Linked DNA regions of Caenorhabditis elegans. The protein of the gene in region 4 purifies or fractionates together with the protein of the main gene of each other region. This does not show direct contact. Each region holds a gene or a part of one and is shown on either strand. Other genes may lie near its edges.

Region 1 (7,687 bases), on a different chromosome or scaffold from region 4:
AAAATCGATCCTCGTCGTCAATTGAAAGATGATCATGACGGTCAGAATCGTTTCATGTATGCTACAAAATTGGGTGATATTGCTGCAATTAAACGATTCCTTTTGATGGGACATGATATTCATTGCAAAGATTATGATGATCGAACAGTTTTACACGTGGCTGCTGCTGAAGGAGACGTTGTCACATTGGAATACGTATTGAGTAAATGGCAAGAGGATCCGAATCCATGTGATAGATATGATAGAACTCCATTGGATGATGCTAAACATTTTAATCATACTGCTTGTGTTAAGCTGCTAGAAGAGGCAATTACGGTTTACAATCTTAAAGGACAAGATGATTAGGAATAGATGTTCTAGAAATTGATTTAAATTAATAAATCATTCCATTTTTTGTCATTTGTTAATTTACAGTCAAATTGTTGGAAGAAAAATTGAAAGATCAATTAAAAAAATAAAACTAAATAGAGCTTTATATTATTCAAGAGATCGAATGAAAATTGCTCGGTAAATAGAACACGATGAATGATATTAAAATAACAAAAAAGATTAAGAAAAATTGAATTCTCGTACAAGTTGGAAATCCTTGAGATGATCATTGAGCTTCTGGTGCAACTCCCTTCGTTGGTGGTTCTTGTTGAATATGGCTGAAAATGAAAGCATTATTATGATAATAGAGAGTTTATCCGTATTTTTTGAGCTTCGAAAGTGTTAAACAGAAAAGGAATCACAATCCAGAGCACACTTACAATCTCTTCATCTCGAGTTGCTTATTGTGTTGTCGTGAGTCCAAATCAAGAACAATCTTCTTTTCGATATTTTCTTCAGTATCGGAGAGCGCATTCAACATGATTCTCTGTAAATTCGTACAATTTTTAAATAATCAAGTGACCAAAATCTTACAAAGTCATCCTCGATTGCTTCTGAAATATAAAACAGATCCTGTTCCACATCCGACCATTTTGCTTTTGTCATCGAGGAATAGTCTGATTCTTGAACAAATGTCAACGCCTTGACACTGAGTTGCGGCAAATAGGTTCCTCTGTAGAAATGTTGTTTTATAAGAAACGACTTTTAAATAAATTAAATTTCAATTACCTTATTTTGTAAGCTCTTCCAACATCCAACTTGCAATGGAAGCATTTGATATCACTGAGTGGTTGATTGTCCTCACTCAAGTACTTACTCACCTTTCGCTTCTGAAAAAATTCAATTTTTCACAATCACAAATTGCGTTTCTATGATAAACAGAAGTCGGCTTAGCTGAAAAAAACATTTACTTGAAACATCTGGAAATTGCACAAAAATAGCCTGAAAGTCAATTGTCGGAAAGCAAAGTTCGGAAATTCAGCAATTTGATAATCGGCAATTCGACACTTCCAGGTAATTTTTAAGCACTTTATAAATGTTTCAACCTGAATAAGTTAATTTCAGATGAATAAAGCGATTTTTTTACTTTAAAACGATTTTTTAGTGACAGAAATTTTTTTAATTGTCTTTTTTTTTGAGAAATTTTAGGTTTCGGTTTTTTGGGAAAATGGTTTTACAGCCCTGGTCTACGAGTATAATCTTACAAAATTCATTAAAATTATATTTTCGACAAGCCGGCTCCGGTTTTTGAGCATTCATCAAACGTACCGATTCAACATGCAAAAATCTCCATACACTTGGATCGAACACCATGTAATTCGAGAACACTTTTTTGATATAAATACTCTTGCAGAACTCTTTTGAACAATTGCTGCACATCAATTTATAAATCTTATTCTCATGTCGTAATCTCAAATTGAGTTGCTCTTCCAGATTTCGTTTCCTTTCAGCCGCATTTAGTTCAGCGACTCGTTTCACTTCTGCAGCCAATTGTTTCTCGCCATTCTCTGTGATCTTCTTCACACAAAGTCTCATATACTTTTCAGAGATTAACGCGTTAGTCTCGGTTTCATTGATACTACTCTTCACTGATAAAAGCACAGAACGAGAGTTTTTGGCACGTGCACGACCTCTTTGTTGAACAAGTTGAATGGCTGATCCTGATGAACAGTTGTACTTGATAATAAGATTACATGCAGTAACATCGAGACCTTCTTCAACAACTGACGTTGCCACAATTACTTTAAGTCTTCCATTGTTGAATTTATCAAGTGTCAATTGTTGTTCTTGTGAAGTCTGCTGTACAGCGCCCTGTTTGTTTGTTCCGAGAACATATCCAACCATTTGTTCACCATAATTACCAAATTGATCTAAAACTTTAGATTCGTTCAAGAAATCACTGACACGTTGAGCGGTGCTTCTTTGTGTTACGAAAATAATAACTCGAGATTCAGGAGCCACGTGGAACTGATTGGTGAGTGTATTCTTGAGACGTAGAACAATTTCTGGTTCAACGGATTGAATTGTTTGTTTCAAAGTATCATGGTCTTTGATGAAGGTGCTGTATTCGACTGTCTCTGAATGACTTTCATTCAATTTCCCAATAGCTTTTTCCATGTATTTGAATGCAACCATCGCAGGCATCAGATCAACGATTCCGCGAGCTTCGAGATATACCTAAATCATTTCATTTACAAGAATCTTTGAAAATGAATCAAACCTTCATGTATTTCGCCCAAGTTTGAGAATTCCATTTCTCAGGAACATTCAATTTGTTCAACTCTTGAATAATACCTTGAAGTAATGAATCGTAGTACTCATAATTCTTCGGTTGATTCTTTTTAAACGTGTTAATCATATTCGGTGGGATAGTGTTGTTGCGGCCAGTTGATTTAGACATGCTTGCTAATTCTTCGAGAAATTTGCCATGGGCGTGGTTAAGGTATCGTTCGATGTAATCTCGAAGGATATTTTCTTTGGCAGGCAAGCATAGTTCGACAGCTGAGAAGAATTTTTTTGAAATAATTCTCTCATGAAATTTCATATTCCGAAGAGAAAACAAGTAATTGGTTATTTTTGGAATAGAGTAAATGAGGAATTTACTTTGAAATTGCCGGATTAGCTTGAAGTTAAACAATACCATGAGAAATAAGGGAAAACAAAGGAAATTTCAATACCGTGGTTTTGATTCTAAAGTGGGTTTTCAGCTTCCGAAGGTTTTTTTTTTCAATTCCTGTTTACAACACTTCATTTAGAAACCATTTTTCATTTTACAAGAACAATTTACAATTTTCAAATTTTTTTGAACTGTGTAAACTTGAAAATAAATATTTTTATAATTTGATACACCTAGAAATTTATCTTATTTGTATTTTAAAATTTATTTATGGTTTTTAAGAAAAAAAAAACTAAATTTCCAACTTGAGAACAAACTTACAATCATCTGGTTTTCCAACATGCTCATTGAGCTCATCTATGCTCGATTGGCGAGTGATTGTACTCAAATGTGGAGCGTTGATCAATGCGAGCATATTATAAATATCATTAAGCATCTGATTCTCGTCTTTTTGTCCATCAACTTTGACACTCAATGAAGCTGTCAGACCAATGATTTGTGGTTTTTCATACTTCCATTCTTGAACCATTTGATTAATCAACACATATGGATGATTTTTTGCAGCTTTATGTACTTCATCGAAGATCATCATTGAGAAATCACTCACATACAAACGCTCATTTTGACGTACCGATTGAAGCATGTTGCTGAAATAATTAGTTCGGGTATTATAAAAACCAGAGCTCGATCCGAAAAAATTAAACATTTTATATATCTTGATTAAAATTGCACTCTTTTTATAATTTATAATTTTTTTTGAAAAAAAAAAGTAAAATAAAAAATTAATGAGTTATATCAGAAATTTTCGATTCAGAATTTAATGAACCTGATTCCATTAACTCACATCAGAATTTGAGGAGTCATAACTGATACATGAGTAGCAATTACTTCATCACGACGTCCTGTTCCACTGACACTGCTCTCGGATCCATGAAAACCATTAACTTCGTACATTCCGTTACAATACTTCAGGAATCTGTCTTTTTGTTGACCGACAAGCGGGATTTTCGGCACAAGGAGCACAACCTGGAAAATAAAATTTTATTGCTTCTATATCAAGGGGAAATAATATTAGAACTTGACGAGAAAATTAAAAAAAAAACATACTCTGGAAGGCTTTCCTTGGGATGTTCGTTCTTCAATATGTTTGAGAGCCGCATAAATTGCCACTTCTGTTTTACCAGAACCAGTCGGAGCAACAATAACACAATTCTTTCCTTCGAGAGCCGGTTGGACAAGTTCTTCTTGATAAGTACGCAATACAAGTTCAGTAACCACCGCATCTGGATCTGGAAAAAGGAAAATTTGCACTAAATGTTGGAAATATAATCTTACTGTAGCCGCTGTCTTTCGGTTGTGGACGTATTGTCGTGCAAACATCCTCGCCGACAGCTTCCTCGTTAGTCCGCTGACTTTTCAGTAGGGTAAGGCGGATACGGTCACGTTCTTTCTCTCGTTCTTCTGAAAATTGATTTAGTTAAGCCTAGATTGTAAATCGAAATTCGTAAAATACATCAAATAGCATGAGATGGCCGAATAATAAAAAGTTAGGCATTATTTAAAATTGTATTAAAATAATTTCAGTATTTTGAAATCTGAAGTACAAAATGTTTGCCGCTATTTAATTTCCAAACAAAAAAAAACTTACCAAGCTCTTCTGGCCAGTTCTTATCCAAAAAGTAGAGAGCCGCTCGATTAGCTGGATCATTCTTCATTGCATCAATAAATCCGTAATACCACTCTTCGTGTTCATTTTTCTCTTTTTTGTCATTCGATTTGAATCCGATGATTGCGAGAAACATGGTGAGAGTCTTATGAAGACTCCATTTCTTCACAGCATATTTTTTCTCTTCTCCATTCTCGATTTTCAGCTCGAACGCTGGTCCTTCGGTTAGCAAATCTTCGACCAAATCAGTTGATAGTTGATGATTACCTTTGTTAAATACTTCAAAAGCGAGAATTGTAGTTTCACTAACACAACGTGGATTCGATTTCAGATGCTTCATAATAATCATTCCACGTGCAGCTCCAGCCACTCTATCAAGCTTCTGATATCCAAATGGATTATTGGTAACTTCCTCTTCATCGTAGAATTTATTTTTGAAAGTCTCAGCAGTTAACCAGCCATCAGGAAGATCTTCCCAGTGTGAGTATCCATAAAGTTCTTTATCGTCTGAATTTTACAGTTCAAAACGTTTGAAATTTCACGATTACTTACAGTTAAACATCACTTCGTCAGCAATTCTGAGTCCCTTCTCATCGAACAAAACAGTGTTCAAAAAACATTCCGAGAATCTTCTCTGAAATAAAAATTATTTTATTAAATGTTTTTCAAAAGTGTTTTTACCCTTTGAACTTTCTGCTGATGTGCGTGACGCAATGTAACGTATGTTTCTGCCTGTTTTCTGATTTTAACGTCGAGACTGAAAAATTGGTATTTAAAAAAAATATGGCACGAAAATTCCAGACACCATAATACTTTTTTTTGACCTTTTAAGCTTCTGTGACTCGAAAACTCACGATATTTAAACTTTTTATAAAAATTTAAGTCATTAAAACAATTTTATGTTTTCAAAACTCCGTTTCGACATCCTTGCCGTCACAGATATAGATAACACCGAAGAAATTGTTTTCGTTGGAACGTTTTTCTAATACATGATTTCTCTGTCGTCTTACTCGGCATTTCTGATTTTAATCATGTCCGGGTCATGAGAAACTGGAGTTGGCTCGTCAATGATCATTCTGGCAATTTCTTCCAATTTTCCTGGCGGGAACAGCGATTCAAATAGTTTGAAATATCCGATATCGTTGTTTCGTGTACTCTCCACGCATACATCAAGGAATTTCCATCTAAAATAATATTTAATTATTTGATCGAGTGCAAGGGGGGAAATGTATAATTTTCTTACTTGAGAAGACGAAAATACGCTGGAAAATATGGAGACTCAAACGGAAGGCGAAGCTTCGATTTGTCGTAATCTTCTAAACGTATTGCAGTTGGTTGCATTATCGAAAATATCTGTAGGAAATTATTAAATTAAATTTTGCCGACAAAACGACAAAAAGACATGTTGTTCAAACTGGCGCACAAAATATAAACAAGTGTGGCAGAGGTTTTCACATTAATGATTTTCTCTTCCTCTTGCCAATGATAAAAAGTTAAGAGGGAAATACATGAATGAACAGAAAACCATTATTAGTGTTAAAGAAGGGCAAGTAGTGTCAGGAAGGGAAGTTTTGGTTTCAGTATTCAATATTTAACGATGAGCAACGGCGGAATCAATAAAATTAGTATTTAAATTCTACAACATAAATAAATGTTTTGGCTCTTCAACCTTGTGAGAAAATAAAATCATAATATTTAAAACAAGAATAAAACTTTCATTAAAACTGCAAATTCACGGGAACCGGTGATGGAAATACGAGCAGCTGCCAACAGAAAATGAAGAAAAGAAAAGGAAATTTGAAAGATAGAACAGAAAATAAAATTCTTTCGGCAGGTTGTTGGGATGAATTTCAGCTGATGAATGGCAAATTAATACGAATAACTGGATGAAAAGAAAACATCGAAAATAACATTTTACAACGTTAAAACGAATCGTTGATGCACTTTTAAGCGTCTGGCTTTAGAAGTTCAGCGGAGTTCCTGGCAGCTTCAGCAGCACGGTCGGCGCGTTCTGAAAGAAAATAAGAGAAATGCTTTTTTTCGATATTTAATAAATTATCCATATGAAAAATTGTTAAATTCTTTCTTTACTCAAAAATCGAGTTTTAAGCGGTTTTTTGTAGGATTAATTTTCTAGCCATGAATAAAATACCTTTTTTCACAAAACGCTGCCTTTCGATCTCAATGCGCCATTCGAGAGGAAGTCGAAACCATTCTTCCACAGGATGTTGAGCAGTGAATGCTTCATCGGAGAGAGGATCATCTGGATCCACGTCCACATAGATACTTTTCGACGTCTCTTTCATATTGTCCAATGTAGAGTTTGAACAACTTAGTGATGGATTTTTAGAAATATTTTTATTTTCTGAAATTGCGAAGGTTGTTAAACTTGTCAACTTTTCTTGTAAAACGAACTTTTAGAGGCTAAGTATTTTTGGAGGAACTCTTTTGGCAACCGTTGGAAAATGTAATTCGGGTAGAACTTGGCGAAATTTCCTGTGTTCTCGTACTCCTTCAAGCACTCCTCTACGGTCATTGTTGGCTGAGAATAATGCTGAGAATGATTCTTTCGGGACCCACTTGATTTATTTTTTTTGTTGCCCATCTGGAAGATGAATATCAGCATAAAATAGGACACGGGTAGGGCTGCAAAACCTCGGTAAAGTTAACGTGTTAAACAATAAAAAGTAATACTAATATGAAAAGTGTCATAACATGTAGTGCATATTTCTGGTTAAAACCAATATTGGATAACAATAAAAACCTATAGAACAAAACTTTAAAGCGTTTATTAGAAAACACGAACAACGATACTATAGCTCTATAGAGAAAATTTTAAAGGGAAATGAAATAATCTTAACAAAAAAAAAAAGAAAAAAAGTTCGTCACTTGAGCATTTTCAAAATTTTTGAATAAAACTGTTGAACTCATCACGATGATGAATGCATTTGTGATATGTTACAAGTATTGCACGAAGATTACATCTGGAAAATAAACTCAGTTATTGGAATTATTTAACGGCATTTCTAAAAAAA
Region 2 (6,733 bases), on a different chromosome or scaffold from region 4:
CGAATCGAGGCAATTTCCCAACGAGACGCCATGGAGACTTCTCACATCATTCCTATAGAAAAGCGTAAGTAAATTTGACAGATTTCATGTGAAATTCGATTCATCACATGAATTAGAAGCAATGTTATTCAAGACCTAGTTAAGATTCCATGGCTTATTTCCAATAATGATGTCTCATTTACAGCCTCTAATTCAGGAACTATTACAAACAATACTGGAGTGACTACATTGAAGTATCAACAGCCCCATCAAAATCCCCATTATCAGGAGCAGCGTCGAGATTATTACATGGGAAACAACATTCAAATTCAAACAGCATATAATTCCACACAACTTCGGAAGTACCAACCGAAACCGAAGAAATTCTCGTCATATACCGGAGAATCATTGGTTCGCTCTAGGCCTATATTTTTTTTCGAAATTAATTTTTTGCTTTTTTCAGGAAGGTCATGCGCTCGTCGAAAAGATTATGGCTCATGCGAAAACCGGAATCTTATGGTTCTTTGATAATTATAACTCCAGTGGTATAACTTTTCAGAAAAAAAATTATTTGAACACATTGAATATATTCAGTTCACTTCATTTTCGATGATTTTGAGTTGAATGTTGGTGACTATGCGTATGTGAAGCTGATCCAGAAGAAAGAGGAAACGGCTCATCTGCAATTTCGATGGAAATGGATATCTGGAACAAAGAAACTTTCACCATTCAATTGTCGCATCGATCTGTTTCAGTTGTTTGTATGTTTTCAGAAATTATGATAACTTTAATTCGGTTCATTTTCAGATAGAGGAACAAGTGTCTTACAAATCAAAGGACATGTTAAACAGAAACACATACACTTCCAAAAACTTTCCGATAATTTTCGATGCTGATGGAATTATCAAAAATCCCATTGTAAGATAAAGTCGTTTCGTTCGAAACATAAAATTAATTATTACAGCCAGGAGCCATATATTGTGTGGTTATTCTTCGAAAGAAAATTCAAGTGACGCAAACGGAAAGCCCGGTAAGTTGAATTTTTTTTATAAAGATAATAAAGTTTTATATTAATATTATTATAGACTCACAAATATCAATGGATTATTGATTCTGCTCAGAGCAATCCGTTTATTATAACGGAATACTACAATCCTCACAATGCTTTCAACAGATCGTTCATAGCCTCAAAGCAATTTTCGAGTTCAGCAGCTTTATCAACTGGTAAACAATTATCTATATTAGCTACTATAAATAAACAAAAAATTAATTTCAGACTCGAAAAAAGGATCCTCCGGTTCTGAAAAATCATCGACGTCTCCTCCGCTGAAAAGTCTCACGCCACCTTCAGATGAATAATTATGATGACTACTAACTTTTTCTTCTGTTTTGCATGTTATTTAATCATATTGAGACAGATCTCCCTACCTGAAAACGTGTTCTTTATAACTTGCCGGGTGCCGAGTTTTTCACGGTTTCTGTCCAACTTGCGCATTAATCGCGCCCCGTATTTGTTGTATTTTATAAAAGTTTCCCAGTTTCTTATTAAACTTTGTATCTCTGTTCATATGTACCATCCGTTTCCACCGGAAAGTTGTATCTTCTTGAGAGCATTGAGAGGCCAGAAAGAATTTTGTTTAGTGAAGCAAAACATTTTTCACTTTATTTAATTGCCGATTGATTAAAAAACGCCCCCAGATGTCCTGTTTTCTATTACAAAGTTTCCCGTCTTGAAACATTGACCGTTAATATATTTTAGTCATAAATAATGCTCGGATTAGCCGCACAACGAAAATCAAATGGGAAAGTCGCCGTAGTCTCGTGAGTTTGCTATTTTTTCTAAATAAAATAATATTTTCTCGAATTAGGTTTAATAAATATTTTCAACTTTCAGTCCAACAGATGGAATCGAGTTCGATGTTAACGAAGATATTCTGAACATCCACATGATCTTTCTGGGAGACTTTTGCCAAATCAATGTTGAGAATAATATTCCGATTTCTTATTCAAAAGTGGAAGATGCGTTCAGGTCTTTAAAAACTGAAGTGAGAACAGATACTGTTGAGGTTAGTAAAAGCTTAATTTTCTTAAATATTTGTTTTTATTAATTATTTATTCAGGTATCCGGTGACACAGGAGTTCTAACTAGTGGACTTGCTCCATTTTATAAAACGAAAGAATTTGGAGATGTTGCTTGTAAAGGCCAGGCTCCAGGAGAGGCTGGAACAAACCATAATATTATTGTGTCTAGGTAAGATTTTTGTATCACTCAGATGTGAGATTTTTCGATTTTTTGCGTCAAAAAATACAGTTCCCGGTCTTGACACGAAAAAGTTTTTTCTAAATTCGAAAGGTGTGCGCCTTTAAAAAGTACTGTAGGATCCAAGCGTTGAAATTTTCATCGATTTTTCAAGGTTTTTCTCTCGGATTTCTTATATTTTTTATCGAAAAATCGGCAAAAGTTTTGCAGCGGCGAAAGTTCGAAACTACAGTACTTTTTAAAGGCGCACAACTTTTCGCATTTAACAGAAATTTGTCCTGTCGGGACCATTAGCCGTATTTTTGATGAATATCTCGCATCTTGATAGTATTGTGTCGTACTTTAATATACTTTTGATTTTTTTATTCAGATTGCCAGAGGAACAACGTATCGGTCTATACTCGAAGTTCGTTTGGCAAGGATTATCGGATGGAAAAATAGAAGTGATCTCCAAAACGGCGGGTGTTCTAACTGAAAGAAAAGAGAATAAATCGAATGCAAAAAAATCTGAAGCAAAATCGAAAGAAGAATACACAAAATATATTATCGGAGTTGTTACTGGAAAAAATCAACGAAATAACGCAGTTTTCGTTACTTGCAACCTCACATATCCAGGAACCGACGGAATAATCGAAAAGAGTCAACTACAAATTGGTGATTGGGTTGAAATTCGGTTTACGAAAAAAGATTTCGTAAAATACTTTCCATCAAATCCAACTGCAGATACACCGAGATTCAATGTGAAACATTTCGAAAAAATTGAAAAAATCGAAAATTACTCTGTAACATGGGCCGGCAACGGACCACAAGTGAAAATCAGAAACTTTCAATTTCCGGCTGGACACGTTCAAGGACAATCTGTCGAGGATAGATTCCTGGGAACTATTGCAATTAGCAAAAAAATTGTTACCAGTGAATCTAAAGTCGATGTATTGATCAAGCACCGAAAATTGTTCCAAGCCGGTGACGGAAAACAAGCGACTTGGTTTTTCAAAAATGTCATAAAATCTGAAAAAGATTCGGAGGATTCGGGGGATTCGGAGAATGAAAATAGTTCATCTACGGTTTGTAATGGAGATATTTTCCAACAATTTTTTAGTCTTTCTTTCAGGATTCTCGTCCATCAAAACCAAAGAAAAATGTAGAAAATAAGAAGTCAGAAGAAAAAATTAATAATTCAAGCGAAAAAAAGGAATATTCATCCAATGTACCAAAAATCAACTATTCACATCTACCTGAACCTTCTCCAATGAACTGGCAAATGGGACCACCAGGAATCATGCATCCAATGAGACCAATTGGACATTTTGGAGCAATTCCCAATCCACTTATGTATTCAATGCCGTATATGTCAAATATGGCAATTCCTCCACAAATGATGAATCGTCAGCCAGTTCCAACGAATAATTCTGAACCGGTGATTCATAAAAAAGGATTCAAACCATTGATTTCTACGGAGAATCCACTTGTACGTTTTGGGAGAATGTGAATTTTATAAAAACTGAAGCTGTAGAATTCGTTTATTGTGTCATTTTTAGGTGTTTCTCACCAGAATTTTCACAAAAAAAGACCAACGTTTGTTAACAAAAGAAATTTATTTGAGATTTGAACCAAAAAATATATAATTTTTTTTCAAGAACAAAAACGAAAAAAACACTTTGAAAGTTTGATACTGTATTTTGAAAAAAGTTTCAATATTTTGGTATATACTCTAGTTATAATTTCGAGTGTTGTTTTTTTAAGGAAAAAAGTGAAATCTAAAAATTTACGTCTTTTCTAGTTAGTGACAGGTTACTTTTCTGTTGGGTATCAACGTGTATTGACCCACATTTTCGCTCACTTTTTCTGAAAAAAAATGAAACAAAAACACGAGAAAACAAAGAATTTAGAAAAATATTTTTTTTTTTTAACAAAAAACACCAAAAATTCAACAAGAAACAGCAGTCTTAATTAACTTTAGCAAATTTATGATAGAAAAAATTACAGAATGATTATTATTTCAGGTTCTGAAAAGAGCTGTGATCACCTCGTTGAAACCGAATAACGGAAAACATTTGTATGGAAAGGAAAAGATTGCGTTTTTGTGGCTTCTCGATGATCACAAGTAAGCCTTCTAATATTAGTATCTAAAAAAAATAAAATCATCTAATTTTTCAGGCAATCAGTCTATTATGTCTCTAAGAATGATGGCATTGAGCCAGGCCACTTCTTCAATGGTCTTTTTGCATCTAATGGTGACAAATGGGAATGTAAGAAATACGTGAAACCACTTGGAAAACTCATGGACGGAATTGTATCGAATGATTCGATTGAGCTGCAACTAATTGTTGAGACATACTTTCCACAGTCTGGAGAACGTCTGAATCCCGAGACATATCATAGTTTCATTGGAAAAATTGTTTGTGTGAACATCAATAATATTAATGATCTTATATTTTTCAGGTAGACAAATTCAATAAACTTCCAGAAGATTGCTCAAGAGGAGTGAAAATTAGCATCAAAATGTGGAATATCGTGGAGCGAAATGAATGGTGTTGGATTGTTTCGAAAGTGTTTCAGTCGGTAGGGTTACTGTAATTCTAAAAAAATTTCATAACGAATTACTAAATTACAGAAACACATCCAACTTCTCACTGAATTCCACCAAGCATGGAATGCTCCAGGAATTCGTAAATTGATCAAGCTAAAGTGTTTGTCATTATTTGTAACAGTTTGTGAACTTTTCGACACAGTCCAGGATGGAAAAATGACTCATGCAAGGAATCAGTTGAGCAATGGAAGAGCTTCGGCGGAAACTGATAATAAAGACGATGGGAAACGCTTTGGATGGGTCACTTGTCATGACGGAGACTTCATTAGAATGGTGGTTTTCCCTCGAATTGAAGGACAAAAGATGAGCGATATGAAGAAGAATATAACGGATAAAAATGTCTTCAAGTGAGAGTTTGACTAGAAATTTTTGTCCAGAAAAATTCCGATTTTTTTGCTAAAATATACGGTCTCAACACGCTTTTTTCAGAAAAAAAATTGAAAACATAAATTTCAACAAATCGCGAGGAAAACGACGAAAAATCGATTAAAATTGCGCAGCAACGAAATTTTGAAATTACAGTACTCTTTAAAGCCGCATACCTTTTTGCGCCGTGTTTTTGGCTAAAAAATCGTGACATTTTGCGCCTGGATAATATAATTTTTTTAAATTTTATATCTAATTTCAGAAATGTTGAAAAAATGGAATCTCGCCACCTCTATGAAGTGATTCTCGATAAAGATGGAAAAGTCGTCGAATTGTTCGATTGTCCACAGTACTTTACATCTAATTCCAAGGGGGAGGTGGAATTTAAAGTGATTTGCAGCGATGAATGTCTTCTTACAAAAAATGTTGGTCTCATGGAGCCAATTGGTGCACCAAAATGGATCGGAAAACTGATGTTGTGCACAGAAGATCGTCCAATTCCGAAAAAGAAGATTCTAATGAATGCGACGTTCAAACTTCTTGAAGATGATGATCTTTTCGTTGACGAGGATCTTGTTCGTGAGGAAAGCGTGTGCTTCGTCAATATTGGACGCGGTGAGAAAAGTGAGCAGATAAAAGAAAATTACAGCTGAATTTTTCAAAAATAAATAATTTTTCAGTGGAAAATCAAGACATCGACGAAGTCTTTAAAATAGAGAAGAATGACTCGGATCGACAAGTGAACAACTTGTTCCGCACAAAATTGACGTGCATGCCAAGCGAGACCATTTATTCGCAGTTCGTTCAAGTGTGCAAAATTTTGAGCAACGAAGATATCGTTGATGAAATGAACAAAAGAAATATCGATACGGATTTGCTGATCAAGCTTCAATCGTCTTCACGTTGAGTATGAAGCTTTTACAAAACTCGAAATGGAATGTTTTGAACGAATTTCCAAACATTTTAAATTATGTTTTTTGTATTTTAAACGTGTAATTTTACAATGCATCCGAAATAAAAAGTGCGAAATAGTTTTTATATTTTTTTTGCTGTTCCGTTATGTTCTTTTCCATTACTTTCATACCTACTTTATATTTTAACCAGAAAATGTTCCTACAAAATACTTTAGAACACATTTAGTTTAAATTTTGGACCAAAAACAAACAAAAATCTAATTTCTCCCAATACAAAACTGTTTCCAAAGCTGAATCTGAGAAACTTTTTTTCGCCAAAACCCGAAAAAAAAATTTTCGAAAAAGAAAATAATTTAAGTTTGAAAAGCTGTTTTGAAGAACTTGAAAGATTTATTTTGAAATATTTTAATCAAAATTGCACTCAAGTCGTATAATTTCAAGTGAACTTTTTCGGTTTTTCGGTTTTTTTTGCTCACTTTTACGAAAAATAGATATTTCGCTAAAAACACATTTTTTGATAAACAGCGGTTTTTAGTTTTTTTCCCGAAAAATTCAACAAACAATTTTTAAAAACGAGAGTCCTGAATACGAAATACAAACAAAATTCTCCGTGTTAATTCTACA
Region 3 (4,722 bases), on a different chromosome or scaffold from region 4:
ATACCTTGAATGAATAACACTTCTGACAAGCATCAAAGAAACTTGTGTTAAAATAGTAGCTATTCAGCCAAATGAAGTGATTGATTCTGCTAAGTAATGAAAAATGGGAATAAAAAAGTCGGTAATGATAATCTGACGGGAAGATACTGAGAACAGAGGAACTAACGAATAAATCGAGAAGAACAAATAATTCGAAGGTTAGGCATATTACTTAAAATGAAATTATAACTAAAAGACGAACTTCAAATTCAAAAGAAGCTTGCTAACTTTACTTTAGCCCGACTTTAATCAATGCTCCTGAGAAACTGGGTGTTTCGTATGCGGCTAAACAACACGCGCATACGGAATTTCGGAGTGTTGTTGCCAGAAAATTCAAATAAAATTTTTCAAACAAAAAATGCAATTGTTTGTTTAAAATACAATTTTCAGGGTATATATTACCAAGAATTTTTAAAATAAAAGTTTAAAACCAAAGAAATGCGAAAATATTTTTATTGAACATATTAATTATCAATTTTTGAGAAAATAGGCCAATAAAGAAGGTCCTTCCCGTTCTGAATGTCTTGAATTGCCATAGCAACATCATCCATGCGAGTTTTTTGCATAAAACTAGGTAAAAGTTCTGGCACGTAACGTTTTATAATCATAAGGAATACTCTTATTTGGCGATAGCGTTGGAAATGGAAAATAGAGAGTTGCGCCATAGAGGAAATCTGAAATATTGATGATAAATCAATCTGAACGGAAAACTGGAAAAAATAACCAAATATGTTTGTTGCTCAAGAGTTAACTGATGCGGGGAATATTCAAATTCTTCGTTTTCAGATTTCTGATCACGCTGAAAAAATTTAGACTTTACAAAATTTAGATTGCACCTACGTTTTCGGATAAGTCGCCTGAGCTGGAAGCAACATCGACGATAGCTCCTTCTTCAGAATCTTCTGATATTTCAGAACATTCCTCTTTAATCAAATATTCTTGTTTCAACGTTTGTGGATCAGCAGGTTCATCCTCAGAGTCTTCCATAGCTCCACTGATTTTTTGATGTGATTCTTCTAGGACAGTTGTGCTTGATACGGCTGAAGAACTCCCTTCAGGTTTCAAAACTCTAGATTCTTCAACGAAATCTTGTGCGAGTATTTTTTTCGGAAGATTATTGACTAGGAATACTGTGCAAATTAGAAATTCATCAAGTCTTTTAGAATAACGATTAATCACTGGAAAGCATTGAATAGCGTTTCGGGTTAGAAACTCTTCCGCTGAGGAAACAAAGACTCCATGGACCTAAAATTTATTTTCAAATTAACGAATTTTGAAACTAAAAGAATAACCTTTTCAGCTTCAAGCAATACTTGTCGTTCCACAGCCCTCCGACTCCGCCCGTCAACAAACTGTATAAGTTTTGAATTGCACAAGAATTGAAAAATAGTCGAGTCATCGACTTTTTGGTTAGTTGTATCGTTATAATAATCTGGCAAGTATATTACAGTTTGGCACCCGTCTAGAATGAAATTTAAAAGTATTTCAAGTAGAGATCTCGTGGAAATTATTGGAAGCGACGATGAGATCGGAATTAGCATGTCCATGAATGATAAGCCATCTGAAACGAATTATTCAAAGTTAAAAACATCTAAATATGAAAGTAACCAACCTATAAATACGGGTCTAAGCATACAATCCGTGCTTCTTTGGTTAAAAATTGGAGTATTTTCTGATCCGATTTGATAATTACATATTAATGATAAATCGTTGTTACGCAGCAATTTAAGCCGCTGATGTTCATCAAAATGGCATGAAAAGTTCTTAATTGTGAGGCGACTCGTTGATTCCAAGAAATCATCATGTTTCTGGAAGTGTAGAAGCCACAATATTTCTTGAATACTTTTCAATATTTTTTTTCGTTTTTTGCGTTTTTTTTCTTGTAACGTGGTCCCTGTGTATGAATGGAGTTTAGTTTGTCGTTGTTTTTCTATTTGTTTGAACTGCAAATCTGGAGCCGAAAAGTGCCCATCAAGCCATGGGCGAAAATTTGGAGTATCTCTGAAACTTGTCAAAGGTATTTAATTAAAAAATATATTCACTCTATATTGAAAAGGCTTACTTTGCAGGGAAAAGCATGTCGAAAATCTCGCTCGCAGTTCCAGTTTCCTGAGGATTGAAATAATACATTTCTTCAAGAAATGGACGTTGAGGTGTCTCTCCACTCACAACTCCACAGGGTTTAGCCACGAACTTGCGGTTTATCTAAAACAAAATATATCTTCAATAAACTATTGAAAACCTAAAAACAGCTTACTCGTCCTTGTTTATTTTTTCGGCCAGCTCGAAGTTCCTGGAGTCTTGCTTCAAGTTGTAGAAGTTCTGGAGGATACTCGGGCTTCGTTTCAGATATTCTGAGTTTATTTGTTTTCAAGACTTCCTTCTTCACTACCGGCTCTTCCTTTCCACTATCTGATTCAGAAATACAAATTATTCGGCGGAAATTCTGAAATAGTAATACATTTTTCTAATTAACATGATACAAACAAACCGTCGCATTCCGAATTGATGGTCGAGCAGGCGGAAATTTCAAATTACTCGATTCTTCTGATTCTGTTTCTTTTTCAATTTTTCTTTGATCATTGTTCTTTTCAGAAAATGTGCAGTCTTCTACCTCGGGAGTCGGTGGTTTTGAAGCTGGCCTGCAATTTTGATCCAGATGAAGAATAGACTTATATTTATATGTACTTCTCTGATTTTCTCACAACCTGCTCGTCCTCTGAGGTGCTTGGTGTTAATGCCACACAGAATCGGTACATCTGAGAATTATATAGAAGAAAAGTTACTTGAGAGGCGGCACAAGGATACGCTGTAAAAATTAGAAACTGTTCAAACAAAAAATGTTTTTAAAACTTTCCTACGGTAATTCTGTTGGTCTCGCAACGAAAGCTGGACTCCAGACATGCGCCTTTAATTCTCACGATGATACGGCTTTAATCAATTTTTTTTATTATTTATTATTATTTATTTTCGGTATTACATAAACATATTGAACGGAATCAGCTAGAAAATCGTAATGAAACGAATTTATATAACCACCTGTTTTAAATTATACAAGTTTTCATCAACATTGAAAGAAAAAATAAAGTGCATCCTTTTTTAAATGAAAATCTTCAGCGCTCTTCAACAAAAATGTTTCAAATCATCTCCTATGACCTAAATTTGAGACGATCGTCGGCCACGGCCGTTCTCTAAAATAATTTAAATTCAGAATTCTCACGCGATGAGACTCACTCTTCTTCTTCGCGAAACCATTTCTCAAGTCCAGAAACTCATAAAAGACGATTTGAATGTTTTGAAAATCGATAAATACTTGGTGAACATAAAAGCAGGTTCTGGAGGTTCTGGATTGTCAAGGTTATACTCTTTTGTTCACAAAAGTTCATATTTTTTGTTTCTTCAGGTACAACGGAGTCGGTGGAAATGGAGGAGACATTTACTTTGTTGCAAAACCTTCACTTGCATTCACAGATATCAAAAAACGACTTAAAAACAAAATGAAAGTAAGTTTTCTTAAGCTTTATTTATTCTATTAAAATCGAACAATTTCAGATACGATCAGAAAACGGCGAAGCAGCCACTAAAATCATGTTGATTGGACAACACGCGAAGCATCAATTTTTCGATGTTCCAGTTGGGATTGAAGTTGTTGATCGAGAGAAAAACAAGCTAATTGCACGTTGCTCCAAACCTTTCCATCGATATCTTATTGCACGCGGAGGTGAAGGTGGATACTCTAAAATCGGTTATAAGTAAGTTTTCAAATTCAAATCTCAAAAATTCAAAAATAATAATTTCCAGAGGTTCGAAAGGTGACACCTTTGACGTGGAAATTCACTTAAAACTGCGGCCGAATATTGGATTACTTGGATTCCCAAATGCTGGAAAGTCAACACTTTTGAAGGCTTTGGTTCCAGAAAAATCTGTTAAAATTGCGGATTATGCTTTTACAACAGTTAATCCGCAAGTAGCATTTTTTAAAAATAAAGAAGAATTTAGCGTTGAAGGTGATTTTCCCTTATTTTTTAAAACAATTAAGCTAAATTTCAAAGCTTTAGACCCATCGTTCACTCTCTCTATTGCCGATTTACCTGGAATTATCGAAGGTGCATCTATGAATCGAGGCAAGGGATACAAGTTTCTGAAACATTTGGAATATGCTGATATTGTTGTTATGGTTGTTGATTGTCAAGGATTTCAGTTGAAAAATGAACTTGATTGCCCTTTTAGGTAGTTTTCTTTAAACGACTTGGCACTGAAGCACGACTTTTACATTTTCAGAAACCCGCTGGAATCAATTGCTCTTTTAAATCGCGAAGTGGAACTCTATAATCAAAAATTAGCAAGAAAACCTGTAATATGTGTATTAAATAAAATTGACGCACTCGATGAAAATGAAAAAACCGTAAGAACTTGTATAATATATCATTTTCCTAATTGTTTCTTAACCTAGAATATCTCATCTCTTGCTAAATCTCTTCAATCTCAAAAATGGATCGATATGGTGCCTGAAGAGATGAGGCCGAAGATACCGATGAGATTCGAACACGTTGTGCAACTCAGTGCTAGAAGTGGAAAAATCGACGAATTTACGAATGTTCTGAAGTTAATGAGGCACCATCTTCATGCTTTGAAAGATGTACAAGATAATCCAGAAAACACAAAACATGTTAAAAAGAGATT
Region 4 (7,711 bases):
CACAAGTTTCGACGCTCTGTAATAGCAACTCATGGACTGTTCGTGTTCAACTTCATAGTGAAGAATATGACCAAAAGCCACCCATCCTTCAGCAAACGTCGAATCCATCATCGTGCATTTACCTAAAGAAGCTCTATTTAAACCTCAATGAAATGGGAAACATACTGATGAAATTTCGAGCTCTTGAGTTTGCTCCAATACTATAATAATACATAGCAACACAATACCATGGAAGTGGAATATGAGGATCATCACTAACTAGTTGATGACCTAATTCAAGCAGAGATCGAGAATCCTTTAACATTGTTAGGCAGTGAATACGAAGAATAATGCACTCAGGATGTGGTCCAAATAGATCAAATAGCTCGTCAGTGATTTTTTTTGTTTCTCGAAATCGACCCATCTCGTAGGCACGTTGAGCACGTTCCATAAGAATTCGTGGATCATGATTTCCTTCGTGTAACTTCAGCTGTTCATTTCTGACTTTTCTGTACTTCTCCCACATCGCAGGCTCAACCAGATTGTATTTTGCCATTAATCGTTCGACATGGAGAGTTGTATTATCCTGAAATAATAAAACACGGTCAAATCATGTATAAAAGATGACTTACAAGACTCAGCGCGTAATTAATACAAATCATTGCAGCATCACGATTCATCAATTTCAAAAAACTTTCTGCTATGGTTATCATAAGAGCTGGAACCATTCTGAGCTTTTTAGAGCTATTATCCAATTCGGCCATATTTGCAAATGAGTACTTCATTCTTTCTTCCTCGACATATCTCCCCGTCACTTGTGAAAGTGTTCGAACAGGAAGAGGTCCAATTTGGCCATTACTTGGAAGAAGATGACCGACCGATAATTCAGCTACATCTTCGTATAATTTCCGTTGGAAAAGTGCGGTAGCGGCATAATAAGCAAAAACAATGTGAATCTGATGATAGTTCCCACGAGCAATAATATGGCTAATACGCCGCCATTGACGGAGAACGACGAGAATTTTTACGTATTCAGCGATGGTGACAATATCTTGCTGTTCATCATCAATTATATTAGAGTATAATGTATCCGCGTAAGCTACAGCTTCATCGGTTCTGCCGATTTCAAGCATTTCCCTAAAAATATAACATATTAATATATATGCTGGTCTCAAACTGACATCACTTTCTCCATGCTCGCCTCGTCATAATACTCCGATCCATCAATTCTACTTGCAAGTGTTTTAATCGGCTTGAAACGAATAGACTCGTGTTTCGGCAAATCTCTGAAAAATTGTAGTTTGAAAAAGAAATGTTATTTATTAAACTCACAAAGATGATGCTGGCTTGCTTGAGGAACCTTCATCAGCCAATGTCGGAATCGCAAAACTTTTTGTATCAGGCGAGATCGCGCTCATGCTGTAAAGGCTTCGTATATTTGTTTAGTAAGTAGAGAACTTAAGTTAAGCAACAAGAATTGTAAAATAGAAATTCAATAATGACGTTAATTGCAATGGAACTGTTGTGAAAAAGTGTTGAGATTATAGTCTTATTTTTAGATTATAATTTTACAGCTTACACGGAGTAGTTACAGCTACTTTAACTAAATAACATAAAGGCGCGCCTAGGCGCTTAAAAACAAAATAAAAAGGATTTAATGCTTGATCAAATTTAAATTTTAGCCGTAACTGCGGAGTCTCGTTGCTAATTGTCAATGGAGCGAACATACATCATCAAATTTTTGAATAAAATTGTTTCTCATTTTTTTCGTAAAATAAATGCCATTTTCAAAAAGTCTTTCACAAAATGCTCCCGTTTGATAATGATGACTCTAGCGATGATGCTACAACTTCTGTTAGGCCGAAGCATCCAAGGTAATTGAAATTCGGTGAGCAAACGGTAGTCAAATGAAACAATGTTTTTTTCCAGAGGAGTTCCTCAGAGTCAATCAACATTTCCACGTGGTAGATCGAATTTTTCGTCTGGAACTTTACCAAATCGAAAAACAGAATGCACTCCAGTGAACACCTTAACAATTGGGCATTCAAACAAGATGCTATTGACAACGTTTCGGATGGATCGAAATTCAAAATCTAAATCGGAAGTTGACGTACAAGAACAGCCTGTTCACTCTTCATCGTCGGCTTTTCCAGGAAATCATTTAAACAATTTTTCGTATCCAGTGAATCGTGGATATCTTCGTGATTACCTGCTACAGTCACAAAGGCCTTCTACTTCAAAACCAGTCGACTGTTCTGTTCTAAAACGGCACTCTCTCCCATCAACTCACATTCTTTATGAGAAAACGAAGCACAGAGGTGGTGTAAATATCGAAGAACAAGAAAAACTCGTGCGGATGTTATGGGCCGCTGCAGAAGAATCGGAAACAGTTGCGAAGACGAGACAGTTTAGTAAAAAACAGGCGATTGAGCTGAATTTCGATGCTAAGCTCATTGGCAGCATGAATAATGATTGCTTTGGATATTGCCGAGCACACATGGAAAATATAAAAGATGTTTTGAAAACACACTTGAAATTGGTAAGCGATTTTTTAATTGGCCGTATTTGAAACAATTTAATTTCAGTCTAAAGTTGACGAGGTAAACTGGATCAAGGTGGGGATGGTGCCACGAGCTGCGTACGAAGATAAATCATACGTCATCGATGCTCATTTAGTTTTGACGCCAAACGGTGAAGTAGAAGATGAAAATGAATTGTTCTCCGAGTTCGCATCAAGTTTCACATCTAGAATAACTGGAATGCTCCATGATCAAGTATTTTTGGAAGTCCCGAAAATGCATACGCTTTTCACAAAAATAACGTAATAGAATACTCATCCGCTTTTTATATACTCAAGTTATAATTTAGACCCCAACACATGGATATAAATATTTCTGCGATTGCGATTGGAAACTGCCCTAATTCAGGACTTTTCCTTGTTAGAGGAGATTTCATCAGTCAAGAAAACACAGTTTGTAGTGTGTAAGTTGCACATATTCTACAGAATTTCTAATCAGATTTTTGTTTTTAAGAAAGCTTCAGTCACACCATAATGCAGATGCATCCCGTGAAAACAGTTCATTCAAAGTGGCAGGAAGCAATAAATACCTCTCGTATGCGAGATTTGAGCATGACAAAAGACTGGCAGTGGTATATTTCGGAGTTCGATTAGCCGAATTCGCTGATGATGGTTTGGATCATGCCGGATTTCGTCTTAATCTATATTATAATTTGTTTGTTCGAATTGTTGTCGACATGTCTCATGAAACTACGAACAGTATTTATATACAAATGAAAAATCCACCGCATCTCTGGGAAGGAATTCCGAAAAATACGATTTTTCACCCATCAAAGTCGAAGGTTCTCAATATGGAAACGTGCACAGAATGGGTGATATGGTATGCAAATAACTTTTAAAAACTTGTAAATTTTCAGACAAGAGTATTGAGTTGGCCTGGCGATGCTGAGGGCCGAGGTGTCGGTTGTACTTCTGAAGCTTTCTCGCAAAGCTCCTGGATCCGGTTGACAATGAGAAAAGATGATGATAACGATTCGGTATCGTCTACACAATTGATGGATATTGTTACTAGACTTTCTGCTCGAAGCAAAGCAAAAGTGATGTTCGGCTCCATTTTTTCAATTCGCCGAAAACTTGCACCATCCCCGGCTTTCCATTCTCTGGGATCTTTCCGAGCGAATTATGCTCTCCAGGCTCTAATCACACGCGGAAGTGTATTTACGGACCAACTTTTCGACGCAACTGATGAAAATATTCCAAGTTCAGACAATGACAATGATGAAGATGATGACGATGATGTTGATGACACGAAAAAGCCAATGGAATTAGTACACGAGCCGCTCTTTCTGAAATTAGTTCGTAGGGGAATGAAAGAATGCTCTCAAGCCACAGAAGAGACTCTCGAACAACTTTTGAATGCATTTGATGAACGTCGTCAAATCGATGTAGTTACCGCGTTCACAACAATGTATCAATCAAGAAAGATTCAATACGAAAGACTTCTGAAAGGAGAAAGCCTTCAAGATGTAGGCCTTGCAAAGCCATTGCCGAAGAATTGTGTTTCAGTGGCTAAAGTTATTGTAACACCATCTCGAATACTGCTAATGGCTCCAGAAGTAATGATGGTAAATCGAGTTGTTAGAAGATTTGGACCTGATTATGCTCTTCGTTGTGTGTTCCGAGATGACAATCTGGGCCGGCTCGCTATTCGCGACTTTTCCATCAATAATATAGATCGTAAGAAATTCTTTAAATATTTTTAAATATATTATCTAAGTTTCCAGACATGTCGAATATTGTCACCGAAGGAATTTATTTGACTCTCAAAAATGGAATTCAAGTTGCTGATCGTGTCTACAGTTTTCTAGGATGGAGTAATTCTCAAATGCGTGATCAAGGATGTTATTTATACGCTCCTCGAGTCAATGCATTAACTGGTGAAGTCACAGGAACTGTAGAAGATATTAGAGTATGGATGGGAGATTTCCGAGATGCGATTAGTGTTCCAAAGATGATGAGTCGAATGGGACAATGCTTTACACAAGCACAACCAACGGTATATTCTAGTGTTAAAAATATTCATATAGTCGAAAATATTCAGGTACGTCTTGAACGACATCACTGGATCGTTGAACCTGACATTGAAGGTGGTGTAGAGAACAAATATTGTTTTTCTGATGGTTGTGGTCGAATTTCTATCAAACTGGCAACACATATATCTAAGATTCTCCAATTGAAGGAAGTACCAGCTTGTTTCCAAGTGCGATTTAAAGGTTTCAAAGGAATTCTAGTTATTGATCCAACAATCGATGATATTATAAATATGCCTAAAGTTATCTTCAGGTAGTGATGATCTATCAAACAAATTATATGATCAATTTTCAGAAAAAGTCAGCAAAAGTTTGGTGAAGGTGGTGGAGAGCTGCAAGATGAATACCTCGAAGTAGTAAAATACGCTATGCCATCTCCAGTTTGTCTCAACCGTCCATTCATTACAATCCTGGATCAAGTGTCGGAAAAACAATCTGCAAGCTCTCACAGAAGGATCACAAATCGTGTTCATTATTACTTGGAAAGAGAACTATGTTCTCTGAGTAGTATGTAGTTACTGTATGGTTACAAATCATAATCTCCTAATTTTAGATATGCTCATAAATGAAAATCAAGCAGCAGAAGAGCTAGTCAATCGCACAAACTTGGCAATCGACTGGAACGCAGCAAGCAAACGAGCCGGGTTCGAATTGAGTGTAGATCCATTGATACGAGATATGCTATTCTCTATTTATCGCTACAACATCATCCATCACATTTCTAAAGCTAAAATTTTCTTGCCTCCAAGTTTGGGAAGATCAATGTACGGTGTTGTCGATGAGACTGGACTTTTACAGTACGGACAGGTTTTCATCCAGTATTCACCAAGTATCCGACAAACCAGTAACCGTCCAATATTGAAAACAGGCAAAGTTTTGATTACCAAAAATCCGTGTCACGTTCCTGGAGATGTTCGAGTTTTCGACGCAGTTTGGCAACCAGCATTAGCTCATTTAGTCGATGTTGTAGTATTTCCACAACATGGCCCACGACCACATCCCGATGAAATGGCAGGTTCAGATTTGGATGGAGATGAGTATTCTATAATATGGGATCAAGAAATGCTACTCGATTATAATGAAGAAGCAATGGTTTTTCCGAGTAGTTCAGCTGCAGAAGAAGACAAAGAACCTACTACAGATGATATGGTTGAATTCTTCCTTCGATACCTTCAACAGGATTCAATTGGAAGAATGAGTCACGCTCATTTGGCTTATGCTGATCTTCACGGACTTTTCCAGTATGTTCCTTGAAATTATCCATGTTAAGCCAATATCTTATTTTTCAGCGAAAATTGTCACGCCATCGCGCTCAAATGTGCAGTAGCTGTAGATTTTCCGAAAAGTGGAGTTCCCGCGGAACCATTGTCAAGTTTCGAGCAATGCGAAATGACACCTGATTATATGATGTCAGGTGGAAAACCGATGTACTACAGTACCCGATTAAATGGACAATTGCACCGAAAAGCTCGAAAAGTTGAAGAAGTTTTGGAAGAATTTGAAACACGCGGGAGTGTATTCGAAAGAGAATATGATAAACTGATTTGTCCAGAAGACGTTGATGTTTTCTTCGGAAATGAAATAAAACTTGTACAAACATTGACTCTTCGCGATGAATACGTTGATCGAATGCAACAACTTTTGGATGAATATGGAATTGAAGACGAAGCTTCAGTTGTGTCTGGACATGCTGCAAGTATCAAGAGATTAGCTGGAATGGAGAGAGACGACTATTCATTTTATCACACTGATAAGGTCGTTGAGCTTCGTTATGAAAAATTGTATGCTGTATTTCGTGCAAAATTCTTTGAAGAGTTTGGTGGAGAAGAAATCAACATTGAGAATGATGGAAAGAACACTCGGTTGAAATGTACGAAGGCAATGCATGAAAAGATTCGGCAATGGTATTTCGTGGCATATGTGCAGCCAAAGATAAATAAGGCTGGAAGATGCATTGGACAGAGTCTTCCCTGGGTTGCTTGGGATGCATTGTGTGATTTGAGGCGACAATTAGTAAGTTAAAATTATGAAATAAATATATTAATTTTTTGTTGCAGATGCTCGATAAAAATGACGCAGTTTTACGAGGCAAATATCCAATTGCTGCTCGTTTAGAAGAGGAGATCGAAAACTCCATTGAAAGGCAGTTTGACAAGTTTCTCAAATTGAAAGATTTGATTGAATCTCACAAAGATGCGCTTTTCCTGAGACGATACGTATATTTTTATGGAGATCAGATTATAAAAATGTTGTTCATCCTGAAAGTTTGGCTTGAACGAGAAAATGTGCTCCCATCAAGTGTTTTGTCGATTTGGCAGCTGGGAAGACTTTTGATTCGTCTAGGGCTCGGAGATCTCCTGGGAAATCCCACTATTGATTATGAAAAAAGTCTTCTGATGCCAACAACAATGTTTCAGCAATGGATTTCGAAGAAAGAAGATGCAGATGAAGCTCCGATATTGAGAAATTTCGATATGGGAACAATGATGCTCGAATTTCTCAGATATTTGGCAAGGTAAATTTAAAAATCTAGTGTTGGAAAAATTTTTCAATATTTCAGTCAATCTTTCGCATCAGCTGAAAGCATAAGTCTTCGAGTTTTCTACGAAAAAGATATTGTTGAGCCAATACTTACTAAAAGTGCACAATGGATGCCTTTACATCTTGTAAGCTCGATCTTTAATATTCCAGATCTATCAACAAAAAACATATTCCAGATTGCATATCGTACATTTCATTCCATCGCTGTGTCTGGACGGTTTGATGCGCTTCATTTGGACGATGAGGATGCGGTGGATCAGATTACAGAAAGCAAGGATCCAATACTAGTTAACGAGTCATTGTTCTCTTCGAGAAACTACAACGATGATTATCCGATCAGTAGGAGTAGAATATTGCAATCTTTGAAGGTAAGTGGTTCGAAAATACTTTTCGTTTCTAGTGAAAAACTTTCAGGATTGGTCTGGTGTCAAAGAAATAATTCCTCGCGAAATCACTGGAACTCGGAAGTCTGATATGATCTATGTTACATCAGTTGGAACGGTTCTTGCACGACAACGCCTCGCTCGACTTTTACTTCTCAGTGGAGAGACAATTAGGGACGCGATTGCCAACAACGTCGTGC

What was found.
Region 1: the proteins of rrf-3 (region 4) and drh-3 purify together in Caenorhabditis elegans (affinity purification with mass spectrometry, with the first as the bait; one study listed by BioGRID). This does not show direct contact.
Region 2: the proteins of rrf-3 (region 4) and B0001.2 purify together in Caenorhabditis elegans (affinity purification with mass spectrometry, with the first as the bait; one study listed by BioGRID). This does not show direct contact.
Region 3: the proteins of rrf-3 (region 4) and eri-9 purify together in Caenorhabditis elegans (affinity purification with mass spectrometry, with the first as the bait; one study listed by BioGRID). This does not show direct contact.

What each region holds. Positions count from the first base shown.
Region 1 is NC_003279.8:7,819,149-7,826,835, reverse strand, and holds drh-3 (Helicase ATP-binding domain-containing protein), read right to left. Parts: upstream 6,006-7,687; 5' UTR 5,994-6,005; coding exon 5,896-5,993; intron 5,837-5,895; coding exon 5,663-5,836; intron 5,410-5,662; coding exon 5,334-5,409; intron 5,287-5,333; coding exon 5,205-5,286; intron 5,160-5,204; coding exon 4,635-5,159; intron 4,448-4,634; coding exon 4,322-4,447; intron 4,276-4,321; coding exon 4,094-4,275; intron 4,013-4,093; coding exon 3,831-4,012; intron 3,634-3,830; coding exon 3,308-3,633; intron 2,872-3,307; coding exon 2,591-2,871; intron 2,548-2,590; coding exon 1,639-2,547; intron 1,200-1,638; coding exon 1,099-1,199; intron 1,043-1,098; coding exon 904-1,042; intron 857-903; coding exon 750-856; intron 648-749; coding exon 596-647; 3' UTR 458-595; downstream 1-457. Other genes in the region: glna-3 (Putative glutaminase 3), read left to right, coding at 1-345; D2005.7 (NAM-associated domain-containing protein), read right to left, coding at 6,599-6,663, 6,805-7,017, 7,068-7,257; D2005.4 (TPR_REGION domain-containing protein), read right to left, coding at 7,631-7,636.
Region 2 is NC_003282.8:12,145,979-12,152,711, reverse strand, and holds B0001.2 (uncharacterized protein), read left to right. Parts: upstream 1-1,734; 5' UTR 1,735-1,747; coding exon 1,748-1,800; intron 1,801-1,873; coding exon 1,874-2,045; intron 2,046-2,099; coding exon 2,100-2,230; intron 2,231-2,609; coding exon 2,610-3,303; intron 3,304-3,350; coding exon 3,351-3,707; intron 3,708-4,242; coding exon 4,243-4,343; intron 4,344-4,396; coding exon 4,397-4,637; intron 4,638-4,681; coding exon 4,682-4,801; intron 4,802-4,853; coding exon 4,854-5,176; intron 5,177-5,457; coding exon 5,458-5,819; intron 5,820-5,875; coding exon 5,876-6,102; 3' UTR 6,103-6,231; downstream 6,232-6,733. Other genes in the region: B0001.7 (Movement protein), read left to right, coding at 1-64, 185-390, 443-524, 574-740, 787-897, 944-1,009, 1,065-1,203, 1,256-1,338.
Region 3 is NC_003281.10:4,930,700-4,935,421, reverse strand, and holds eri-9 (Zc3h12a-like Ribonuclease NYN domain-containing protein), read right to left. Parts: upstream 2,944-4,722; coding exon 2,901-2,943; intron 2,875-2,900; exon of another isoform or gene 2,849-2,874; coding exon 2,728-2,848; intron 2,682-2,727; coding exon 2,531-2,681; intron 2,486-2,530; coding exon 2,297-2,485; intron 2,245-2,296; coding exon 2,102-2,244; intron 2,047-2,101; coding exon 1,652-2,046; intron 1,601-1,651; coding exon 1,332-1,600; intron 1,285-1,331; coding exon 880-1,284; intron 839-879; coding exon 764-838; intron 714-763; coding exon 504-713; downstream 1-503. Other genes in the region: C26E6.12 (OBG-type G domain-containing protein), read left to right, coding at 3,263-3,396, 3,443-3,542, 3,592-3,791, 3,841-4,046, 4,098-4,269, 4,321-4,444, 4,493-4,722.
Region 4 is NC_003280.10:8,160,773-8,168,483, forward strand, and holds the start of rrf-3 (RNA-directed RNA polymerase), read left to right. Parts: upstream 1-1,692; 5' UTR 1,693-1,785; coding exon 1,786-1,853; intron 1,854-1,908; coding exon 1,909-2,518; intron 2,519-2,564; coding exon 2,565-2,800; intron 2,801-2,847; coding exon 2,848-2,961; intron 2,962-3,011; coding exon 3,012-3,369; intron 3,370-3,414; coding exon 3,415-4,234; intron 4,235-4,281; coding exon 4,282-4,553; intron 4,554-4,598; coding exon 4,599-4,840; intron 4,841-4,882; coding exon 4,883-5,094; intron 5,095-5,140; coding exon 5,141-5,828; intron 5,829-5,876; coding exon 5,877-6,600; intron 6,601-6,644; coding exon 6,645-7,102; intron 7,103-7,147; coding exon 7,148-7,253; intron 7,254-7,304; coding exon 7,305-7,496; intron 7,497-7,542; coding exon 7,543-7,711. Other genes in the region: emb-27 (Cell division cycle protein 16 homolog), read right to left, coding at 1-122, 166-565, 612-1,116, 1,161-1,265, 1,312-1,397.